Cricetulus griseus: one gene and its partners. The protein of the gene in region 1 binds, or shares a complex with, the protein of each later gene. Links are inferred from orthologs where the notes say so. Each region holds a gene or a part of one and is shown on either strand. Other genes may lie near its edges.

What was found.
Region 2: Polr3g (region 1) and Polr3e share a complex: the UniProt entries of both Homo sapiens proteins name them as parts of the RNA polymerase III complex. The link is inferred for Cricetulus griseus from reciprocal best matches to the Homo sapiens genes POLR3G and POLR3E.
Region 3: Polr3g (region 1) and DNA-directed RNA polymerase III subunit RPC10 share a complex: the UniProt entries of both Homo sapiens proteins name them as parts of the RNA polymerase III complex. The link is inferred for Cricetulus griseus from reciprocal best matches to the Homo sapiens genes POLR3G and POLR3K.
Region 4: Polr3g (region 1) and Polr3c share a complex: the UniProt entries of both Homo sapiens proteins name them as parts of the RNA polymerase III complex. The link is inferred for Cricetulus griseus from reciprocal best matches to the Homo sapiens genes POLR3G and POLR3C.
Region 5: Polr3g (region 1) and Polr3f share a complex: the UniProt entries of both Homo sapiens proteins name them as parts of the RNA polymerase III complex. The link is inferred for Cricetulus griseus from reciprocal best matches to the Homo sapiens genes POLR3G and POLR3F.
Region 6: Polr3g (region 1) and Crcp share a complex: the UniProt entries of both Homo sapiens proteins name them as parts of the RNA polymerase III complex. The link is inferred for Cricetulus griseus from reciprocal best matches to the Homo sapiens genes POLR3G and CRCP.

Annotation. Positions count from the first base shown.
Region 1 is NC_048595.1:302,134,360-302,137,859, forward strand, and holds part of Polr3g (DNA-directed RNA polymerase III subunit RPC7), read right to left. Parts: intron 1,674-3,500; coding exon 1,521-1,673; intron 1-1,520. UniProt on the Homo sapiens protein: DNA-dependent RNA polymerase catalyzes the transcription of DNA into RNA using the four ribonucleoside triphosphates as substrates.
Region 2 is NC_048596.1:79,724,956-79,728,455, reverse strand, and holds part of Polr3e (DNA-directed RNA polymerase III subunit RPC5), read left to right. Parts: intron 1-159; coding exon 160-275; intron 276-649; coding exon 650-732; intron 733-3,427; coding exon 3,428-3,500. UniProt on the Homo sapiens protein: DNA-dependent RNA polymerase catalyzes the transcription of DNA into RNA using the four ribonucleoside triphosphates as substrates.
Region 3 is NC_048599.1:54,889-57,588, forward strand, and holds the end of DNA-directed RNA polymerase III subunit RPC10, read right to left. Parts: intron 2,197-2,700; coding exon 2,069-2,196; 3' UTR 501-2,068; downstream 1-500. UniProt on the Homo sapiens protein: Core component of RNA polymerase III (Pol III) which synthesizes small non-coding RNAs using the four ribonucleoside triphosphates as substrates. Can mediate Pol I proofreading of the nascent RNA transcript.
Region 4 is NW_023276806.1:59,785,402-59,788,901, forward strand, and holds part of Polr3c (DNA-directed RNA polymerase III subunit RPC3), read left to right. Parts: intron 1-109; coding exon 110-211; intron 212-328; coding exon 329-378; intron 379-1,111; coding exon 1,112-1,261; intron 1,262-3,389; coding exon 3,390-3,471; 3' UTR 3,472-3,500. UniProt on the Homo sapiens protein: DNA-dependent RNA polymerase catalyzes the transcription of DNA into RNA using the four ribonucleoside triphosphates as substrates.
Region 5 is NC_048599.1:34,454,945-34,459,210, forward strand, and holds the end of Polr3f (DNA-directed RNA polymerase III subunit RPC6), read right to left. Parts: intron 4,243-4,266; coding exon 4,051-4,242; intron 2,628-4,050; coding exon 2,550-2,627; 3' UTR 501-2,549; downstream 1-500. UniProt on the Homo sapiens protein: DNA-dependent RNA polymerase catalyzes the transcription of DNA into RNA using the four ribonucleoside triphosphates as substrates.
Region 6 is NC_048597.1:109,299,808-109,303,910, reverse strand, and holds the start of Crcp (DNA-directed RNA polymerase III subunit RPC9), read right to left. Parts: upstream 2,801-4,103; 5' UTR 2,617-2,800; coding exon 2,609-2,616; intron 1-2,608. UniProt on the Homo sapiens protein: DNA-dependent RNA polymerase catalyzes the transcription of DNA into RNA using the four ribonucleoside triphosphates as substrates.

The DNA of each region.
Region 1 (3,500 bases):
AACTGATAAAAACCTTCCATAATGTAACAGGATACAGGATTAACTAAAAAAAAATCAGTAGCTTTCCTATATACAGATGACAAATGGGCTGAGAAGGATATCAGAAACATCTCCTTTACAATAGCCATAAATAACAAAATACCTTGGTGTAACTCTAACCAACTAAGTGAAAGACCTGTATGACAGGAACTTCAAGTCTTTAAAGAAAGAAATTAAAGAAGATATCAGAAAATGGAAAGATCTCCCATGTTCTTGGATAGGTAGGATCAACACAGTAAAAATGGCAATCCTACCAAAAGTAATCTGCAGATTCAATGCAACCCCCATTAAAATCCCAGCATAAATCTTCACAGACCTTGAAAGAACAATACTCAACTTCATATGGAAAAACAAAAACCCAGGATAGCCAAAACAACCCTGTACAATAAAGGATCATCTGGGGGCATCACTATCCCTGATTTCAAGCTCTACTATAGAGCTATAGTAATGAAAATGAAAAGCTTGGTATTGGCATAAAAATAGACAGGTAGACAAAAGGAATTGAATCGAAAACCCCAATATCAACCCACACACCTATGAACACCTAATTTTTGACAAAGAAGCTAAAAATATAAAATGGAAAAAAGAAAATAGATTGAACAAATGGTGTTGTATAACTGGCTGTCAATGGGTAGAAGAACGCAAGATCCGTATTTATCGCTACGAACAAAGCTCAAATCCAAATGGGTCAAAGTCCTCAATATAAATCCATCCACACTGAACCTCATAGAAGAGAAAGTGGGAAATACACATGAACGCATAGGCACAGGAGACCACTTCCTAAAGAGAACAGCAGTCGCACAGACTCTGAGAGCAACAATTAATAAATGGACCTCTGAAAACTGAGAAGCTTCTGTAAAGCAAAGAACGAGATCAACAAGAGATTAAATATGTTAAATGCAGATATACAAAACAGTAGAAAGAGAACTATAGACATCACAAAAAGGTGAAAAAAATAGAAAAAATATTGATTCTAAAATTGAAGTGAAGCAACCTAGTTTACCAATACCTCGGCAGCTGTCACACTGCTTCTGTCCACATGAACTTGGGAATTTGAGACATGATGGCCTTGTTGGGATTTCCTTCTAGACGTATGTGCCTATGCCCTTTGGTACCTCAGCTGCTGTCTTAGCTTCTTATGTTGGTAAGTATGAACTGTACTACTCTCATCAATTTCCTTAATTCCTTACTTGCAAAAGCTGTCAATCAAGTTACTCTTATCTGCTGGTTTTCATTTTGTATTACTATCATTTCATACCAAGCACCTGATGCCAGGATAAGAATGCATTTTTGGTTCAATAAACTTAGGGTTTTGTGTTTGTGACAAGGTCTCACCTTGTAGCCCCAGCTCCTCAAACCCCTCGCACCCTATTCTTGAGTTTGCTAGTATTACAGGCGTGGTTTTGTATGCTGACTGACATTCCATGCCATAGGATATCTCTGAAGTTAGGGAGCAGCTCTCATCATCCTCAGACTTTTACCTCCTCTTGTTCCTCTTCATCGTACTCCTCTTGCTCTGCTTCATCATTGTCATCATCATCATCGTCATCGCCATCTTTATTTTTCTTTTTGCTCCCTTCTTTCTCTTCATTCTCTTCATCCGATTTTTCACCATCGCCTCTCTTTTCTAGTTCCTGGTAAAGGGAGATTCATTAATTTCCACTGAAACAACTATTCTTACATACCCAGCCCAAAGAGAAGAATTATGGATCATTTTAGGCTAATCCTAAATTAACACACGCCCGCCAGCCTCCCACCTCAGAAACTCAAGGAAAGGTCACCCACCATGCTGTCCCATTCTTCAATTTTGTGACTTAATCATTGGGCTTTGCTAACCTGGGGTTAGAATTCTAATCTACAATGCTTGCTTTTCATGTTTCCTATCCTACCTCCTCCTAAAATGTGTGGCATGATTTAGTTTATCCCCTTCCCATCTCCTTTGTCTTTCATTACTTCCCATTCCCAAGATTTTCTGCTTCGTGATACATCTGGAAGGTTGTGAAAAGGGGATTAAAACGAAAGTAAGTGAACACACCAGCCATTATGAGCCATCCTAGAAATAAGGAAGAGAAACAGAGTTGGGGAGTCTTGATGATTCTATTGATACTTGAAAACTCACCATGCCACAACCTCACAATTTGAATTTTATAAACACCTCATGACTGCCATTTTTTTTTTTCAATTGACAAAGGTGACCCATTTTTATTTCTGTTGCTCTCAGTTCACTAAGTTAGATGACCCTCACTTTACATAAGGGACAGAATTTCACAGGTTTTCTGGGAGCTGGGTACAATAATCATTTTGCATCTTCATAATTTAGGCTTCACATGACTAATTTCTGATTGGTCTTAACCCAGTAATTAGAAGAGTAACTAATAAAAATGTGTAGGCATTCTCCATCTCTCTTTAAGACTTTGTCAATTACTCATGAACAAGAAAAGCTATTTTACATCCAGAATAACTTCAACTTAGCTCTTCTTTAACTCCCTAAATATTTACTTTAAAAATTCTTTTAAAATCCCAGCACTTGGGATGCAGAGGCAGGCAGATCTATGTGAGTTTGAGGCTAGCCTGGTCTACAGAGTGAGTTCCACGACAGGCTCCAAAGCTACACTGAGAAACCCTGTCTTGAAAAACCAAAACCGAAACAAAACAAACAAAAAATTATTTTAATTCCAATTTTAAGTGAAGAAAATCAAAGGCAAAGAAAAGGCCACATTAAACAGACCCAATTTAAATGGATCACCTTTGAATGTTTGTATATGTGTGAATGCACGGGTGTGCATTAATATGTTCGTGTGTGTAGACATGCATGTGAAGACTGGAAGCTGACATTGGATATCTTCCTCAGTCACTCTCCATTTAATTTAGTAAAACGGGTTCTGGCTAGTTTTGGCAGCCCGTTGCTTGCCTTCGGGATCCCTTCTCTCTGTTTCCCAGGTGCTGGGATTATAGGTAGCTACAGGCTCACCTGACGTTGTGTGCATGCTGGGGCTTGGAGCTGCAGTTGTTATGGTTGCACAGTGAATGCTTTATCTATTGAGCCACCTCTTAAGCACATAATACTCAATTTTTAAATAAATCAAGCTATCTTGCTTGCAACTCACCTCACTCAAGCAGACCAAATTAAAATCAAACCTTGTGTTGCCTTGGCAGTTATTACAGCAATACCTTGTGTACAATTTCTCAACTGTCAATTTTCTTGGAAAATCTCAAGTGAACAAAATTTTCACAAACCTTTGATATATCTGACACACTCACGATGCTACATTAATATTAATTAATATAAGGTATTGTGCATTTTCTAATTTAACTAAATCGTAAGTAACAAGGCCTATAGCTAAATTCAATTATATAATTTATTTTACTCTGTGAAAAATATATTCTGTGATCTGGAAAGACAGCCACTAATTATTTCATAATTATAAACTAAATAGTTTTATTAAAAACAAAAACAAATA
Region 2 (3,500 bases), on another chromosome or scaffold:
GTTGAAAATTTCACTGGTGACCTCAGTGTGGACTTAAACCCAGGGGCCCAGTAGGAGGGACACTGGTCAGTCTTGCTTCTGGGTAGGGACCTGACTGGGAGTGTTCTTGGGAGCTGTGCCATGGCACCTTCCAAGTTGGGTGGTACTTTGTACCTCCAGGTAGAGCTTGAGATGGCCATTGACACCGTGAATCCCAACTACTGCCGCAGCAAAGGGGAACAGATTGCATTGAACGTGGATGGTGCCTGCGCTGATGAGACTAGCACATATTCCTCGTGAGTCCCTGCCCCTAGGGTTCTATTGCAGGTAAAGGTTAAATAGGAGTCTGCAGAGGCCTCAGAAGCATGGGGCCCTTTTTGCTCTTTCTCTGGGATCCCCATCATGTCAGGTCTCTCTACCTTTAACCATAGAAGGTTGTAGACCTTCCCTCCCAAGTTGGCTTGTCCCACCAGGTGCTTCTGGGCTACAAGGGAAACTGGCCTCTGGAGCCCCAGTCCATCATTCATTTCCTGGTGCACAGACAAAGCTATGAGTTTTCTCATTCCTTAGCCCTAGCTAGTGTATCTTGGAGGATGTTAGGATAGAATGGGGTTGGCTAGCTTCTCTGGAGCATTGTAGCCCTTCATACTAGTTCTGCTTGTGTTCCCAGGAAGCTAATGGACAAGCAGACCTTCTGCTCCTCCCAGACCACCAGCAACACGGCCCGATATGCAGCTGCACTCTACAGGCAAGGTACCTGGGTCTGGCTATACCCTGGGGAGATCACAAGGTGGGTTGGGCCTAGGGGACCTCACCCAGCCTAGATCTCCCCAGCCTAATGTATGGTCTTGGCCTCTACTGAATACCAAACCAGACAGGATCAAGGCAGCATAGAAATGACAAACTGTGGAGTCAAAGCACCACAAAGGGGATTTTCTGGCACTCCCAACTTGATAGAATTGGGCCTTCAAGTCAGTTTGCTGGTGGGAACACATATACAACACAGCATAGTATTGGGGACAGGTGGGGACAGGGTACTTAGAACCCAGCAATCCTGTTCATAGGCAGCATCTACTGAGGACAAATGAGGGTATGCCCACTTAAAATCTTGGACACAGATGTCCATAGGGCCTTTATTCATGAGACCTAAAGAATGGAAACAACCCAAAGCCCATTAAGTGATGCTTGAGTAAACAAAATGTGGCATATCCAAGTAACAGCCTTATCTGGTTATATGAAGGATTCCTGTTGTGTGTATAAAATCATGGAAGAAACCAGGCTCAAAAGACTACAAATGGCCGGGCGTTGGTGGCGCACGCCTTTAATCCCAGCACTCGGGAGGCAGAGGCAGGCGGATCTCTGTGAGTTCGAGGCCAACCTGGTCTCCAGAGTGAGTGCCAGGATAGGCTCCAAAGCTACACAGAGAAACCCTGTCTCGAAAAACAAAAAACAAACAAAACAAAACAAAACAAAAAGTGTGTGACAGAAACCAAACCAGGCCAGTAAACACAATGGGGAGAGGCAATTCANCCCCCCCCCCAAAAAAAAAGACTACAAATGGCCAGGCATAATTCATACTTAATCTCGGCACACCTTTAATCCCAGCATTTGGGAGACACATGAAGGTGGATCTCTGAGTTCCAGGCTAGTTTGGTCTATATATTAAGTTGTAGGATAATCAGGGCTATGTAGAGAGACCTTGCCTCAAAAAATAAATAAATAAAAAGATTGCTTGCTTACATGTTTTAGTTTTCTTTCCTGTTGCTGTGATAAAACACCCTGACGAGAGCAATTTAGGAGAAAGTTTTTTTGGCTCTACAGTCCCAAGTTACAGGCCACCATTGTTGGGAGGTCACAGCAGCAGGAAGTGATCACTTTACGTCCACAGTCAAGATGTGTGCAATGAGTGAATGCACACATGCTAGTGCTCAGCTTTCTTCACTCCAGTCTAAGGCCCCAGGCCCATTGGAGTGGTCCCACCCATGGGTGGGTCTTCCTCATAGTCAAGACAAAGCCCACAGACGTGCCCACTGTCTAACTTAATCCCTCACTGAGACACTTTTTCTAGGTGTTTCTAGACTGTGTTAGGTCGACAAGTAACCATCATTCCACATAATGCCATATTATGAACTGCAGAATAAACATCTGTAGAGGCATAGAGCTGTCAGTCCCCAGGACCAGAGGGAGGATGATGTGGGGTGTGACAGGTTTGTTTTGGGGTGATGAAAATGTGCTGAAGTTGAGAATGGCATTGTTGTCACAGTTCTGAGACTATGTTAACCTACGTCAAGGCGTGTGCTTCAAATGGGTGAATGTCTAGGGTGTGTCAGCCCATCAACACATCTGCCAGATGCTCACTTCATTCAGCATTTGGAGTTTGCAGAGCAGCAAGTGACATGGATCTGAATACAGAGGAAGTAGAATCAAAAGTCATATCCCAAGTAGCATGCACCTTTAATCCCGACACTCAGGAGGTAGAGGCAGGCAGATCTGTGAGTTTGAAGCCAATCTGGTCTACAGAGGGAGTTCAGGACAGCTAGGGCTGTTATACAGAGAAACCCTGTTTCGAAAAAACCAAAAAAAAAAAAAAGTCTTAGCTGGGTGGTGGCACACACTTTTAGGGAGTCAGGTAGATCTCTGAGTTTGAGACCAGCCTGGTCTACAGAACAAGTTCTAGGACAGCAAGGGCTACACAGAGAACCCCTGTTTTGAAAAATCAAAAACAAACAAAAAACAAGCAATGGCCCATAGCTACTATGTCCTGTCCTCAAGGCTGTATCTCTTTGAAGCTACATTTCTTTTTACATTTTTTTTAATATTTGTATGTGAGTGTTTTGTCTGCATGTGTATATGTGCATTGTGTGAGTGCCTGGTGCCTGAGGAGGTCAGAAGAGAGCATTGGATCCCCTGGAATTGGAATTACAGATGGTGTCTGCTGCCATGTGGGTGCTGGGAATCAGACTTGGGTCCTCTTCAAGAGCAACAAGTGCTCATAACTACTGAGCTATATCTCCAGCCCTGGAAGCTATAATTATTACAAAGACAGATCATAGGGACCAGACTGTCCTCTGATGGAGTCCAGTAGGGCTTTTGGCAGCAGCAGTGTGGCAAAGGGGGAAGAGGGGTGGCTACAGGGAGCAGTAGGGCTGAGGAAAGGAGACCTGACTTGGGTGGGGAGGGGCATGAGTGCTGGGGAGTATAGGGAGGTAAGTCTCAAGGAAGTGGCAGAGCAGAGTTAGGCTCCTGTTCCAGGGTGTGCTTGCTGTGCCTGGCAGGATCAGATAAGAGTTGGAAATACCTCCTAGCCTGGTATTGCTGAAGAGGCTAGATTGGGACTGGAGTAGGATCAGTGGTTTGGTTGTGGGGGACTTGGTGATTCCTTTGAGTAAGCTGGGTATGTTGGGCTGTGGCTTACAGGGGCAGGTTCAAGCCCTTCTTCCTTTGCCAGGTGAACTCCACCTGACACCTTTACATGGCATCCTACAGCTTCGGCCCAGCTTCTCCTACCTGGATAAGGCAGA
Region 3 (2,700 bases), on another chromosome or scaffold:
ACTTAACCCTAATACACTCTAACCAAAACCTTAAAGCCAACCTAACCATAACCCCCTAAGTCTAACACCAACCCTAAACCTAACCCCCAATACTAACTCTCTAACCCTAACTCCAACCCTAAACCCCTAACCTAACCCTCACCGAGTTACCCTAACCATAACAACGACCCTAACACTAAGCCTAAATCTAATTGAGTTACCCTAAACCTAAACCCAAACCTAACAATCATAACTCTAAACCCCACTAACCCAAATCCCCTAAGCCTAACCCCCCAACCCTGACCCTAACTCCTAAACCCTAACACTAATCCTAACCCTGAGCTTTTACATGCCAATTATATGAACTCAGGTCCTCATGATTTTGCAACAAGCACTTTATCCACTGATATCCTAGCTCTGCCTAAGTAGAGGTCTCTGGGGGTGCTGCCAGTGATGTGTAGTGTCTGGTCCTGCTGGCTTGTCAGTAGGAATATGGATTAAGGAAAGAAATAGATAAGACATAGAGTGGGGAGGGCACCCAGTAAATACTAGGATCAGCCCCAAGTTTATTACTCAAAGCCCTTATATACCCCAATCAAAAGAGGGGAAAGCAAAAGACTTCCTTACCATGAAACAAAGAACAAATAAATGTAATTACCTCCTTAACACCCAAAACACCAAGTAACCAAACCCTAAACCAAATATACTGTTGTTAAGGTCTTCTCTTCCAACTCCTGCTGCCAATAACAGGATGGCCTGGACCTTCCAATACCCCTGCTTCTGCCTCTCAAGTGATAGCACTGCATGTTTGTGTCACCCTTGGGTAGCATTTTAAAATACTCATAGCCATTGCCTTATTGCCCTGAGAAACTATTGAACTGGTACTGACTTCCACTCTCACCAGAAATGTGACAATGTCCTAACCCTTACTTACTTTTATTTTAAGTAAAAATTATCATTCTCCTCCACACCTCTGTCATCCAGTACCAAGGATTGAGCCCAGAACTTATCATATGCTAGGTAAGTGATCTAATACTCAAATACATCCTCATTCAAAGACTGTGTGACTCTCCTTTGTAATAGAGTTAGTGAAAGGAGATGATCAGTGAAGTTCCAAAGGCTTGAAAACAACCATAGATCAAAGATTTCAAAGTCACCTTTTGTGAATTACTCATCCTTATCTCCACTTAAGGACTTTGAAAATGTCAGAAATGCTATGTTCATAGAAGGGCACTGTTATTTTAGATAGCCTTACTATCTGCACTCTTTATCATATATATGACTGACCAGTTGCATGGAAGCGATCAGAGCTTCCAACATAGAAAATATGTCCATTATACAGAGTAATCTCACTAGTAGTATCAATAAATATGTGACTTTTCTAAATTTATTCAAGTTTTAATAGATTTTTGAATGTGGTTCAAACACAGACCTTTGCACATGCTAGGCACAGGCTTTATTGTGGATCATTCTCTCTAGCTGGAAATATAAAATATTCTTGGTTACTTTTAAATTCCTATCAACATCATCCAGAAAATCCAAATCACAGAACAGTTTTTTTAATTGTTAATCATAAAAGATGAATCATGTCAATCCTGAATTTTAAAGTGCTTTTCAATGATTTTATGGGTATTTTTATAATTTCTCTAGAGATAAATAAATAGAAATTATTTTAAAAACTAAATGGCTGGAGATATAGCTCAGTTGTCAGAGTACCTGTCTAGCGTGAATGAGGCTCAGAGTTCAATCCCCAGCATTGCATAAAATGAACACAGTTCACATGCAGAGGAAGGAAGAATAGGAGGTTTAAGATTATCTTTGGCTATAAACCAAGTTTATAGGACTAATGGTAGTAAGGAAATATCACCTACCTACTAAACACAAAGGATGAATGAACAGGACCTGAAGCCAAGTGAATATTCTTATGTGTATTTCCCAAGGACCTGAGGTCCCTGTTCATTAAGGACTTTTATCTGCTGACTTGCAGATGGCCTGTTCTACCCTAGTCCTCAGTAGAATCAGCTTCCTATCATACAGCAAAGACCTTCAGCACACAAAATTCATGCTTGCAGCTGGGTAAGTCCTGCCCTTAGTCTCTCCAGCGATGTCCACACTGAGCATTGCAGCACTTGTAGAAGGTAGTCATTGGCTCATCTGCAGAACGGGTCTGAAGCTGCATGAAGTAGGCACGGGGATGTTCACATTTTGGACATGGCTCTGACAAAGAGAAAAACAAGTCATCCACATTACACAAATACTGTTTTAAGTGTGGGTAAACATCTCATCTCCATGCTCATTCCAACTTCCTTGCCAATGCTGAATTTGCTGATAGCAACATTCTGCCCACAGCACACCAATACTAACGGGACCAGAGAGAACTGTGACTTTGAAAGCACTTCCCTGATCGTACTTCCTTTCTCAAATTTTGTTGAATTCTGGCTGGAAGCATAGCATGGGGAAGGATCTATTATAGTCTGTTTTCTGAGACTATAACAAAAAATACCTGCCCAGTGTGGTAGCACACAGCTATAATCCTAGCACTTAAGAAACTGAGGCAAAAACTCTTTTTATGAGGCTACAATTACCTTGGTACCCAAACCACACAAAGACACAACTGAGAAAGAGAACTACAGACCAATCTCCCTCATGAATATTGATGCAAAAATACTCAATAAAATACTGGCAAAATAAAATACTGGCAAATCGAATCCAAGAACACAT
Region 4 (3,500 bases), on another chromosome or scaffold:
TAGGGAAGAAAGAAGTGTCAGTAAACATGAGGGCTGACTGTGCCAGTGGATGGGTGTTTACTTTGCCAGTTCCAAAGAACAATTTCTCTTTATTTCTGTGGACATACAGGAAATTCCTAAAACCCCAGACCATGCCCCATCCAGGACCTTCTATCTGTACACGGTGAATGTACTGTCGGCTGCCAGGATGCTGTTGCACAGGTGCTATAAGGTAACAGAATTCGGGCTTTCTCCGTCCCTCACAGATGGCCTCACCCTCCCACCTCCCTTGCCCACTCCACGCCACTTAGAACTGTTCACATTTCTAGTCTGTGTTCTCTCTCCTCAGAGCATAGCCAACTTGATAGAAAGGCGGCAATTTGAAACGAAAGAGAACAAGTGAGTGAACTCTTCTCCACTGGGTCATCTACACTCTTCCCCCCACCCCAATCTGTCAGACATCTCTTTTTTTATACTATTTTTTCCACTGAACCAATAACTAAAACACTTTGAGAATACATGGTGTCCCTTCTCCTTTACCTGGTACCTGTGGGCCCCAACACATTCATTTACATTTTTCAAGGTCCAAAGCCTGAGGGAAAACTTGCTATAAAAATGGCAACAGTAGGCCAAGCAGTGCTGATGCACGCCTTTAGTCCTAGCACTTGGGAGGCTGAGGCACAAGGATCTCTGTGAGTTCGAGACCAGCCTGGTCTACAAAGTGAGTTCCAGGATAGCCTCCAAAGCCACAGAGAAACCATCTCGAAAAACCAAAAAAAGAAAGAAAGAAAGAAAGAAAGAAAGAAAGAAAGAAAGAAAGAAAAGAAAAGAAAAGAAAAGAAAACAGTAGCCCAGTACACAGTATAGTTGCATTGAGTCATAGGTTTGGGTTGGCATAGCCATGCCTTAGTTAACACTTGTTGACTATACCCCCAATTAAATAATTTTGCAAATTTATGAGGCATGTGCTTGACCCCAGAGTTCAAGTTTCAAGAACAAGGTTCTATTTGTGATTAAGTTATGGACAGTGTCTTTAGATGAAACATGGAAAGGAGGGACCTGGACCTCTGGAATAGAGTACAAGAGAATCTCAAAGTTAAGGACACACCTCACAGTTTTGTCTGTCTGATAGGCGGCTACTAGAAAAGTCTCAGCGGGTAGAAGCGATCATTGCATCAATGCAGGCCACGGGTGCAGAGGAGGTGCAGCTTCAGGAGATAGAGGAGATGATCACAGCCCCTGAGCGCCAGCAGCTGGAGACTCTGAAACGCAACGTTAACAAGTAAGTGGTGGGAATTCATACTGTACTTGACGATGCCTTTCAAACAAGTGTGCTTCACAGCCTGTGCTTCACAGCCTGCGCTCCTCCGATTCAGTGAGCAAACCTAATCTCAGCATCATCTTTCCTAGCCTAATTAAAAGAATTGAATCTACCAAGCATGGCAGCACAATCCTTTAATAGATCTCAATGAGTTCGAGGCCAGCCTGGTCTACATAGTGAGTTCCATGTCAGCCAGGGCTATATAGAAAGACCCCGTCTCCCCCCCACCCCCAAAAAAAAAAAAAATATTCAACCTGTTTTTCTAAGTAGCCATTCTGAGGCCATCATGCTTCCTTTCTATACTGTCATTCACCAAGTACTAAGAACTTTACTTCAGCCTCAAGTCTGGCGTTTCATCTTGGTCCTTTGTTGCCTCTTGCCTAGAGCTTTGCAGTAACCTGATCCTACAAACCATGTGTCACAATGCTCTTAAGGTGTGTGTGTGTGTGTGTGATTTTGTGTGTATTCTGGTCCTAACACTTGGATGGCAAGCAATTTAACCCTCTGGCCCATCTCCCCAACCCTCAGGTTATTTATTGTCTTTGAAGTGAGTAACAGCATCACTCTTCTAGTTGAAATGATTTATTGGCTTCCTTGCTTGTGTTTATGTTTGCTCATCCTTTGATTTGGAAGGAGTTACACTTTTTGACTAAAGGTCTCATATAGTCATACTGGCCTTGAACTGAATCTACTGATTCCAACACCTCCAAAGTGTTGGAATTACCAATGTATACCACCACCCCTGGCTGAGATGATTTATTGATTTGTCTTTTTACAATATAAAATCCAAGTTCATTGCTGTGCCATGAGGCCTTTCATAGTTTCATAGCAGTATACTTCCTGTTGTAGAACAGGTGTGGGTTCAATCAGGGCACTTTAAGGATGATTTTAGCCTTTCCAACTGCAGGACTCAGCCTGTAGGGGACTGAGACACCTTCCCTTAGGAAAGGTCCTTTTTTATTGTTCTCCAACTTACTCCTTTAGCAAGTTGATTTCCATATCCCCAAAACATCCTAAGCTTCCAAATGGACAATACCAAATGCAAATTCTTGATTAAGGAATATCACAGTGTGCTGGATTTTTCCCAACCAAGTTTTGCTTAGGCTTTGTACCCTTGGGAAACTCTTAGACACAATTCATATGTTAAATGCTGAAGCCAAAAGGGCAGATTAAGGCTATGTTCAGACACTCCAGAGCCAGCTGCAGCTGTGTAGCTGTTCTCCCTACAACTCCCATCTTTGTTTCCATTTACTCATTAACAGGGATTGTTAATTGTAATTTTATTTATTTTGTTTGTTTGTTTTGTTTTTTCGAGACAGGGTTTCTCTATAGCTTTGGAGGCTGTCCAGGAACTAGCTCTTGTAAACTAGACTGGTCTCGAGCTCATTGAGATCTATTAAAGGCTTGTGCCTGCCTCTGCCTCTGCCTCTGCCTCTGGAGTGCTGGGACTAAAGGTGTGTGTCACCACCTTCCGGCAATTGTAAATTTATTAATCCTAGTATTTTTTATGGGCTCCTAGGGATTTCCTATGTCATTTCTGAATAGTTTTACTTCTGTCTTTTCAATCTGATTGCCTTTTTTTTTTTTTTTAACTTGCCTAATTGCCTTGACTTCCAGTAGAAGGTTGTAAGGACATTTTGACTTTGTTCCTGATCTAAGGAGGGAAACTGAGTTTTTCACTATTAAGTGTGGTGTAAGCTGTGGTTTTATTTTCCCCTTTGGTTTTATAAGATTGGGAAAGTTACCCTTCCTGATTAGCACTAACTCTTCACCTCATGGTTTCGGAACTCGCTCTGTAGACCAGGCTGGTCTAGAACTCACAGAGATCCTCGGACCTCAGCCTCCCGAGTGCTGGGATTAAAGGTGTGCGCCACCACCTCCCGGCTTTACCTCTACTCTTACATATATATGCTTTTCTTTCTCATGGTTGTAAGTAAAACTTTTAAGTGTAGGCTCTCCTGGTTCTCTCTCTTGCCACATGCTCAGGAATAAATAAGCAATTCTTCATGACCACACCCAGCCCAGCTTCTAACCTTGAGCATGCTAGTGAGCAGTAACCCCAAGCAAATGCTTTCACTTTTTCCCTCAGGTTGGATGCCAGTGAGATCCAGGTAGATGAAACCATCTTCTTGCTGGAGTCATACATCGAGAGCACCATGAAGAGACAGTAACCCAGAAGAAAGCAGTGTTGGGATCTATC
Region 5 (4,266 bases), on another chromosome or scaffold:
AATTGGGAGTTTCACGTGAGAATCCATGAAAAACCATTAAGTGGACTTATGTCAATTTGTTTTGTTTTTCCGAGACAGGTTTCTCTGTGTATCCCTGGCTGTCCTGGAACTCTCTCTGTAGGATCAGGCTGGCCTTGAACTCAAGAGATCCGCCTGGACCTGCCTGTCTCCCAAGTGCTGAAATTAAAGGCATGCACCACCATGACTGGCAATGTCTAATTTTCTTTTTATGGGCCACTTTTAAAGAGACTAGAGTATATGTTCTCAGGTAAGCAAAATACGTAATACTGAGAAAGACTGAAGTATCTGGACTTCATCTGCAGTTTTGCTTTGTGGCACCATGATTTTAGAGGCCAAGGATAACAGCTTATTTCTGTAGGCAAATTCATTTTATTTACAGCACAGTTGCTACATTTTGTTATATTTATCTATCCCTTTCAGTTAATAGATTAAATAATATGCTACAAAAACTACCCAGTAAAAAAAAATGCTATGAAGAAAACCTTTTCAAGTACCTTTTTATTCTGGTGAGGCAAGGGACACAGCAAATTTAAAACTTAGTATCTAATTACCAAGATAATAGAAAGCCAGGCATGGCTGCTAAATGCCTGTAATCCCAGCACTTGGGAGGCTAAAGCAGAACCACCATAAGTTCAAGGCCAGCCTAGACCATAAAGTGAACTCCAGTGTAGAGTAAGACTCTTCTCCAACAAAATAAAACAAAAAGACAGAATACAAGGGTGGAGTGTGAACCCTTTCAGTTGGCCCATGTTTCACATAAAGAAACTTTTAAGACACAAAGTAAAGTAGACATAGTAGAAGAGTCCTTTAATTCCAGCACTCAGAGGCAGAGGCAGGTGGATCTCTGAATTCAAGGTCAACATGGTCTAAAGTTTCAGGATAGCCAGGGCCATACAGAAAAACTTTGTCTCAAAAGAGGAGAGGGAGAGGGAGAGGGAGAGGGAAAGCAAATATCAACCACTGAGATCCATAAAAGGCATATGGCTATCTTCTGTGTAACAGCACGACAATTAGTGTTTTCCAGTGCCCAGTGCTGGGACTAACAAACTACAGTGATTTTTTTTCTGCTTAGACACAGCACTCCATGTTTTTAGAAAAGAAGAAGAAAAAAGGAGACCGATCTAAAATACTGTAAAAGACAGGTTCTCACCCCTCAAAACGAAGGGCAATGATCTACTGTTATTTTTTGAGACAGGGTCTCTTTCTCTATAGCCCTGGCTGTCCTGGAACTCACTATGTAGGCCAAATTAACCAAGGGTCTCAAATTAACCAAGATCTACCTACCTCTGCCTCGCAAGTACTAGGATTAAAAGAGTGCACCATCATACCCAGCTAGTTTTAGTTTAGTTAAAATATTAGATACTATCTCTTCTATCTGCTTTGATAGAACACAATAGATCACTGGTTTTCAACTTTCGTAATGCTGCGACCCTTTAATACAGTTCCTCATGTTGTCCTCATCCCAACCATAAAATTATTTTTTTTGCTACTGTGTAACTATAATGTTGCTACTGTTATGAACTGTAAAGTAAATGTCTGTTTTCTGAAGATCTCAGACAAACCCTTAAAAGGGTTGTTCAAACCCCAAAGGGGTTGCAACCTACAGACTGAGAACTGCTTCTAGCTGGGAAGTCGAATGTGCTGGTAGATTTACTGTCTAACAAGGGCCCACATCCTTATTCTTTCCCCTGTGCTCTGGAATGATAAAGAGCCAACAGAACACTTTGGGTGTCTTCTATACAGGCCCTAATTCCACTCATGAGGACTCTACACTCACGATCTGTCACCTTCCAAAGGTCCTACTTATCACATCGCACATGGGGATTAGATTACAAAATTTGAATTTGATGCTGATGGCAGAGAGGGTCAAACTATAGGCATGAAGTAAGAATCTGGAAAAAATTCTGGCAAGTAGTACAGTTAAGCCATACAGAGAGATTTACAACCTTAACAACAAAGGAGTTGGGAGATTATCCCCTTTAGGATGGACTACCACTGATCTAAACTCCTGTCCTGGACACAAAGTCAGTGTGGCAGCATGCTCTCCTGAAACAGTGCTGCTGAAGTGAAGAGGAATGGACAGTGTGGAAAACGGATGTCCACTTTACATTCAGGCCCCAAGTCTGCACACATCCCATCGTCAGCTGTTCCTCTCAATGAAACCCAAGAACGAACCAACAGAAATGGTGATAATAAACCTGATATGATGAGTTTCAATGAAGACATTAACAAGTAACTTTACATGTCACCTTCACGCTCTATCTGTTATCGCAGTACTTGGTCAGTGTAGGTTTGCTGGCTTCTTTTCCAGAGCTTCAAGGTATTTTCTTGAAGAGACTTCCCTATTAAACTTTATTAAACTTCATCTGCTTTGTGTTCTGTCTTCGGAAATAAATACGTTTTCATAGCAGCAAGTCAGTATCCATCATAGAGAAGTATGCTTTCAAAGAAACTGGATGTTCTATCATGAATTATTTGCTCTCCAAGTAATTCATTTGCCAAATGTAAGTAAAATTCACAGCTCTCTATTAAAATTCGAGCCACTCTGTCATGTAAATACAATTAGATGGTGAAATCTCACCACCTTCATGGCAGTCATCAAAAACCTTAAAAAGAAACACAAAAAAAAGTTCACATTCAAATTGAAGCTTTTTTGTTTTGTTTTTCGAGACAGGGTTTCTCTGTAGCTTTGGAGGCTGTCCTGGTACTCCTTCTGTAGACCAGGCTGGCCTCGAACTCACAAAGATCCACCTGCCTCTGCCTCCCAAGAGCTGGGATTAAAGGCCTGCGCCGCCACTACCACCGGCTTCAAATTGAAGTTTTAAAATACCTAAACCCCCATTGATTTAAAGCAGTACTAACACAAGAAAAAAAGAAAACACTATTTGAATTGGATTAGGACTGTATTTAGGAGCACAATATAACAGTGCCTACCTTGTGATCATAGTCAACTTTTTATAAGCTTTTTGTTTTTAGCTTGTTTTTGTTTTTTTTGAGACAGTGTCTCACTATATAGTCCCAGCTGTCCTAGAACTCCCTATGTAGAACAGGCAGGTCTGAAACTCACAAAGCTCTGCCTAACAAGTGCTGGGATTAAAGGTGTACACTATCCTGCCTAGCTTGGAGGCCTATTAACACATCATAAAGGTGATCCCATTCACCTGCCCACTGGTAAAAGGCTATCAGCTGGTTCATAGGAGTGAAGAAAGTGAGTCCTATACTTATGAACAACTTAATTTGTACTAAATTGAAGGTTGTTTTATGCTTAACTATCTTTACAGGGTGTAAAGTAGGATGTACAGGATGTTGGCTTTTGTTTAGGAGTTGAAACTGGGTCACAGAGAGCTTATAGGTACAGACAAGGGTTATCATAATGAATATGTCAGAATAGCAGCCCAAGAATATAAATGCCACAGGGATAGGGAGTGCTTTTGCTCTCTGTAGCCTCAGGATGTCCAGCACCGTGTTTACGAACTACCTAGGAATGAATGAGTGAAAGTGCTAAAGCATAATGGAAAAAAAATTATACTTATTCAAAGTGATACTTTCTGCTTAAGTCTAAGTTCCTTCTGTTCTGGGGGGAGGGCACTAGGGGTTAAAACCTGGGGCGAAAGGCCATGTGTATACTAAGCATGTGCTCTGCCACTGAGTTACACTCAGCCCTAAGTTCTCTCACTCCTTAGGGGAAATAACACCACTAGTGCCCTGGGCACAGAAGGATTAGAATAAGTTTGGCTCGTGGCAGCTTTTGAACAAATTTCATTTCCCTCCCTACAGAGAAGAAATGGTTAGTCCCGATGAAAATGTATCCATTTCAGGGTCAAGAACAGAAGGACATGTCCCTACCCTGAATGCTCCAAGAAATAATGTAAGACCTGTTCATTAACAATCTGTCTATCAAGAGTCTGTGGCAGTTTGAATAGCTCAGGTGACACTTGCTGGTGGGAAGCCTGGTGTGCCTGTTGTTTCTTTATGTGGCATTTGCACATGGTGGTGATAAAAGTACAAAATGAAGCAGCTTTTACTTACGGGGCAGAGTCCACAGGGTGCCCGGACTAAGCCTGTAGGTGGGAGGATTGGGTTGACTGCCCTGTACAGTTTCATGTGTCCATCTACACTGCCGACAGTGCCTTCCTTTGCAGCAATGATCGTCATCTCCACTTTCCCATCATAAATGAGTGTGTTCAGGATGGTTTCTATGTCCTCCATAGACAACTCTACCTAGAGACGGGGACGTTAGAAAGC
Region 6 (4,103 bases), on another chromosome or scaffold:
CTGTACATATTCACTGTGTTCCCTTTTAAAAGGGCCCTGCCTACCTCCCATCCTTTCTCTCTTTCTTTCCCTCCCTCTCTGTCTGTTTCCCCCTCCCCCATTCTTCTCTCTCTCCCTCTTTCCTTTTTATCCCTTTCCTTTCTCCTCTCAACTGCTGCCCCTGTCTCGGAAGCCAATCTCCTCCTTCCCTTTCCCCTATAAAAAACCCCTCTGCTTGAACCCTGTGCATGGCATCTTTCTCTCGTGCACCGCTTTTCTTAAATTACAACACTCCTAAGACGAATAAAACCCTGGCCCCATCCCCAGCACTGCATAAACAGGGTATGGTGTAATACACCAGTAAACTCAGCAATGGCAAAGTAAAAGCAGGAGGATCAGAAGCTCAAGGCCACCCTTGAATGGGTAGTAAGTTCAAGGTTAAGCTAAGCCTTGGGTACATGAGACCCTACTACAAGGGGTGGGGGGTGCTGGAAAACAAGAAAAGGACTGTCTGATGACTGGTAGGGAATATGCTAGATTTTGTTTTAAACAATTTGACAGAAAATGAGGGACAAAAAAAGAAAAAAAGAAACATTTTGAGGAACCACCATCATATAAATGAATGTATACCAAGAATGGGAACAGAAAGTGTCCCAAGAAGATGAAGCACTAAGATGCTCAATAACATTGAGACCAGCAAGGGAAGAGGAGTAACAAAAGAACTCCCAGCAGTAGGATGGAGAGGGAAATTCAGGGCCATGTCAGAGAGCTGAGCATTGCCAGGGTGTCTGACAATAGCTACTCAGATGGAGAAAGCTGAACCAGACAGCCTGAGCTACACAGTGAGACCCCCCCCATACAAATACTAATCTGATGTGGCAGCTTGAGAGGTGGAGACATAGAACTTAAGATCATCCTCTGCTGAATACCAAGATCAAAGCCTGTCTGAGCTACTTATGACTCTGTATTAAAAAGTCTGACAAACTGTAGTATATATTACAAGTGAACAGAAGGTAAAGAACAATGAATGATAACACAATTTAGAGCTGGGCGTCGGTGGCACACACCTTTAATCCCAGCACTGGGGGGGGGGGAGGCAGAGGCAGACGGATCTCTGTGAGTTCGAGGCCAGCCTGGTCTCCAGAGCGAGTGCCAGGATAGGCTCCAAAGATACACAGAGAAACCCTGTCTCAAACCACCCCCACAAAAAAAAAAAAAACCCCACAATTTAGGTATGTCATCCAGGGATATATAAAGTCCACAGGTAGAATAGATGCAAAAACTTACATTTGCACATCAAAAAAGAAAAAAAAAAACAAAAAAAAAGAAGAAAAAAAACAGTATGGAGAAAAAACTGTCAAGATGGCTTTGCTGGTGGGAGAGTAACTGCCTAGAATGCTCAGGATGCTACCATTCCAAACACCACTATATGATGATGGGCACGTGGCTTAGTGCTAAAGCACTTGCCTAGCACCCTAGTGTCCATCCCCAGCACCACAAAACAATTAACAGTACACTGGAAGGCAGAGGCAGGCGGATCTCTGTGGTCTACAAGAGCTAGTTCCAGGACAGCCTCCAAAGCCACAGAGAAACCCTGTCTCAAGAGAAAAACAAAGAAAAGAAGAGAAAAGAAAAGAAAAGAAAATGAGGAGTTGTTGTTGTTGTAAAAAGCCAGAGAGTGGGCTGGAGAGATGGCTCAATGGTTAAGAGCACTGACTTTTTCCAGAGGTCCTGAGTTCAATTCCCAGCAACCACATGGTGGCTCACAACCATCCCTTATGAGATCTGGTGCGCTGATATACATGGAAGCAGAATGTTGTATACATAATAAATAAAATAAAATCTTAAAAAAAAAAAAAAAGCCTGAGAGTAAACCGATAGCAGAATTTTTGAACGGGTTCTGTTCAGGTTTCTGCCTTGAGTTCCTGCCCTGACTTCCCTCAATGATGAACTGTGTCCTGAAGTGTAAGATGTAATAAATAAACCCTGTCAGGCGGTAGTCGTGCACGCCTTTAATCCCAGCACTCAGGGAGGCAAAGGCAGATGGATCTCTGAGAGTTCGAAGCTAGCCTGGTCTACAGAGCGAGTGCCAAGACAGCCAGAGATACACAGAGAAACCCTGTCTCCAAAAAACCAAAAGATGTAATAAACTTCTACCCCGAAGTTCCTTGTTTGGTCATGGTGTTTTTCACACAACAGAAAGGAAACTAGCACACCTTTGTATGTTCACAGCCCTGGGTATCAGTATCACAAATAACGACGGTGGTAACGGCTAGGGTTGCAGCCTTTGCCTGGCATGTGAGAAGCCCTGGGTACCAACTCCAGCATTACAAAATGATGATGATGGGGGGGGGGGCAGACGACTGCGGAGCGCGTGCAAGGTCTTGAGTTTCATACCCAGAACCAGGAGGAAAAACAAACAAGCAAACAAAACTCATTGCTCCTACACTCCCCTCCCTCAAAGAACGTGGGTTGCGGGACCAGCAGGATCCCTCCCCAGCCGCCCCACCTCCAGATACTTCCGGCCCGTCCACTCCGCCCTCCCGCCCTGGTAGCGGGTGCGGAGGGTCGACCACCAGCCGTCTCCGGCCCCCAGATGAGTCGGGTTGCCCTCGGACATGCGGCTTACACTTCCATGTCGCAGCCGCTTCGTCCTGCGCAGCCGCTGGAAGGGAACGGCCTCCCGTCGTGCCACCGCCGCGGAGCTCTCGGCCTGCGTGTGCGCCGCAAGCCACTCTGGGACGCCGTGTTGCATGCCGGGATCGCTGTAGGGAACGCCGGGCTCCTTGCGTCGTACGGATTTCGAATTTCAGCCTCTGGAGGCAAAATTTAAACTTTTTTATGGTCTAGGTTTTGTTAGGGTTTTAATAAGATAAGGTTCCTGTCTTGGACGCTTTAAAAATCTCCAAGCCAGTCAGTTCGCAGCTGATATCTCAGCACTAGAGAGATTGAAGCAGGGGGATTGCCACGAGTTCCTGGCTAGCCTGTGCTACAGAGTGGGTTTCAAGCTATCTTGGGCTATTGCAGACCACTGTGTAAAAAAACAAAAAACAGGGCTGGAGAGATGGCTCAGAGGTTAAGAGCACCTTTGGCTGCTCTTCCAAAGGTCCTGAGTTCAATTCCCAGCAACCACATGGTGGCCCACAACCATCCGTTATGAGATCTGGTGCCCTCTTCTGATGTGCAGATATATATGGAAGCAGAATGTTGTATACATAATAAATAAATAAAATCTTGTTTAAAAAAAACGCACAGGCACACACACACATACCAATCAACCAACCAAAACCCCCAGAAGCCAGCCAGGCATGGTGGCGCACGCCTCTAATTCCAGCAAGGGAAAAAAGGGAAGGTAGAGGCTAGCACATTTTTGTGAGACAACCTAGGCCACACAAGAAACAGAGAGAAAGGGAGAGGGAGGGAGAGAGAAAGAGAGACACCTGGAGAGATGGCATAGCAGTTAAGAGTACTTCCATTTCTAGCAAAGGATCAGGAATTGATTCCCAGCACCAACGTGGTGGCTCACAACAACCTGTAACTCCAATTCCAGAGGATCCAAGGCCTTTTATATAGCCCCCGCCAGGCACACATGTGAAGTATATACATACACACAGACACTCACAGATACACATAAAATAAATCTTTGGCTGGGTGCTGGTGGCACATGCCTTAAATCCCAGCACTCAGGAGGCAGAGGCAGGTGGATCACTGTGAGTTCGAGGCCGGCCTGGTCTACAGAGCGAGTACCAGGATAGGCTCCAAAGCTACACAGAGAAACCTTGTCTCGAAAAACCAAAAAAATAAAATAAAACTTTGAAAAAAGAAGAAAGGGGGTTGGTGGCGCATGCCTTTAATCCCAGCACTCAGGAGGCAGAGGCAGGTGGATCTCTGTGAGTTCGAAGCCAGCCTGATCTCCAGAGGGAGTGCCAGGATAGGCTCCAAAGCTACACAGAGAAACCCTGTCTTGAAAAACCAAAAAGAAAAAAAAAAAAAGAAAGAAAGAAAGAAAAGAAAAAAGGTTGGACCTGCTGGCCCATATCTGCTATAATCCCAGCATTTGGGAGTTGGAGGCAAGAGGATTAGGGATTCAAGATCATCCTCCCAACAGCAAGTTCAAGGCCAGA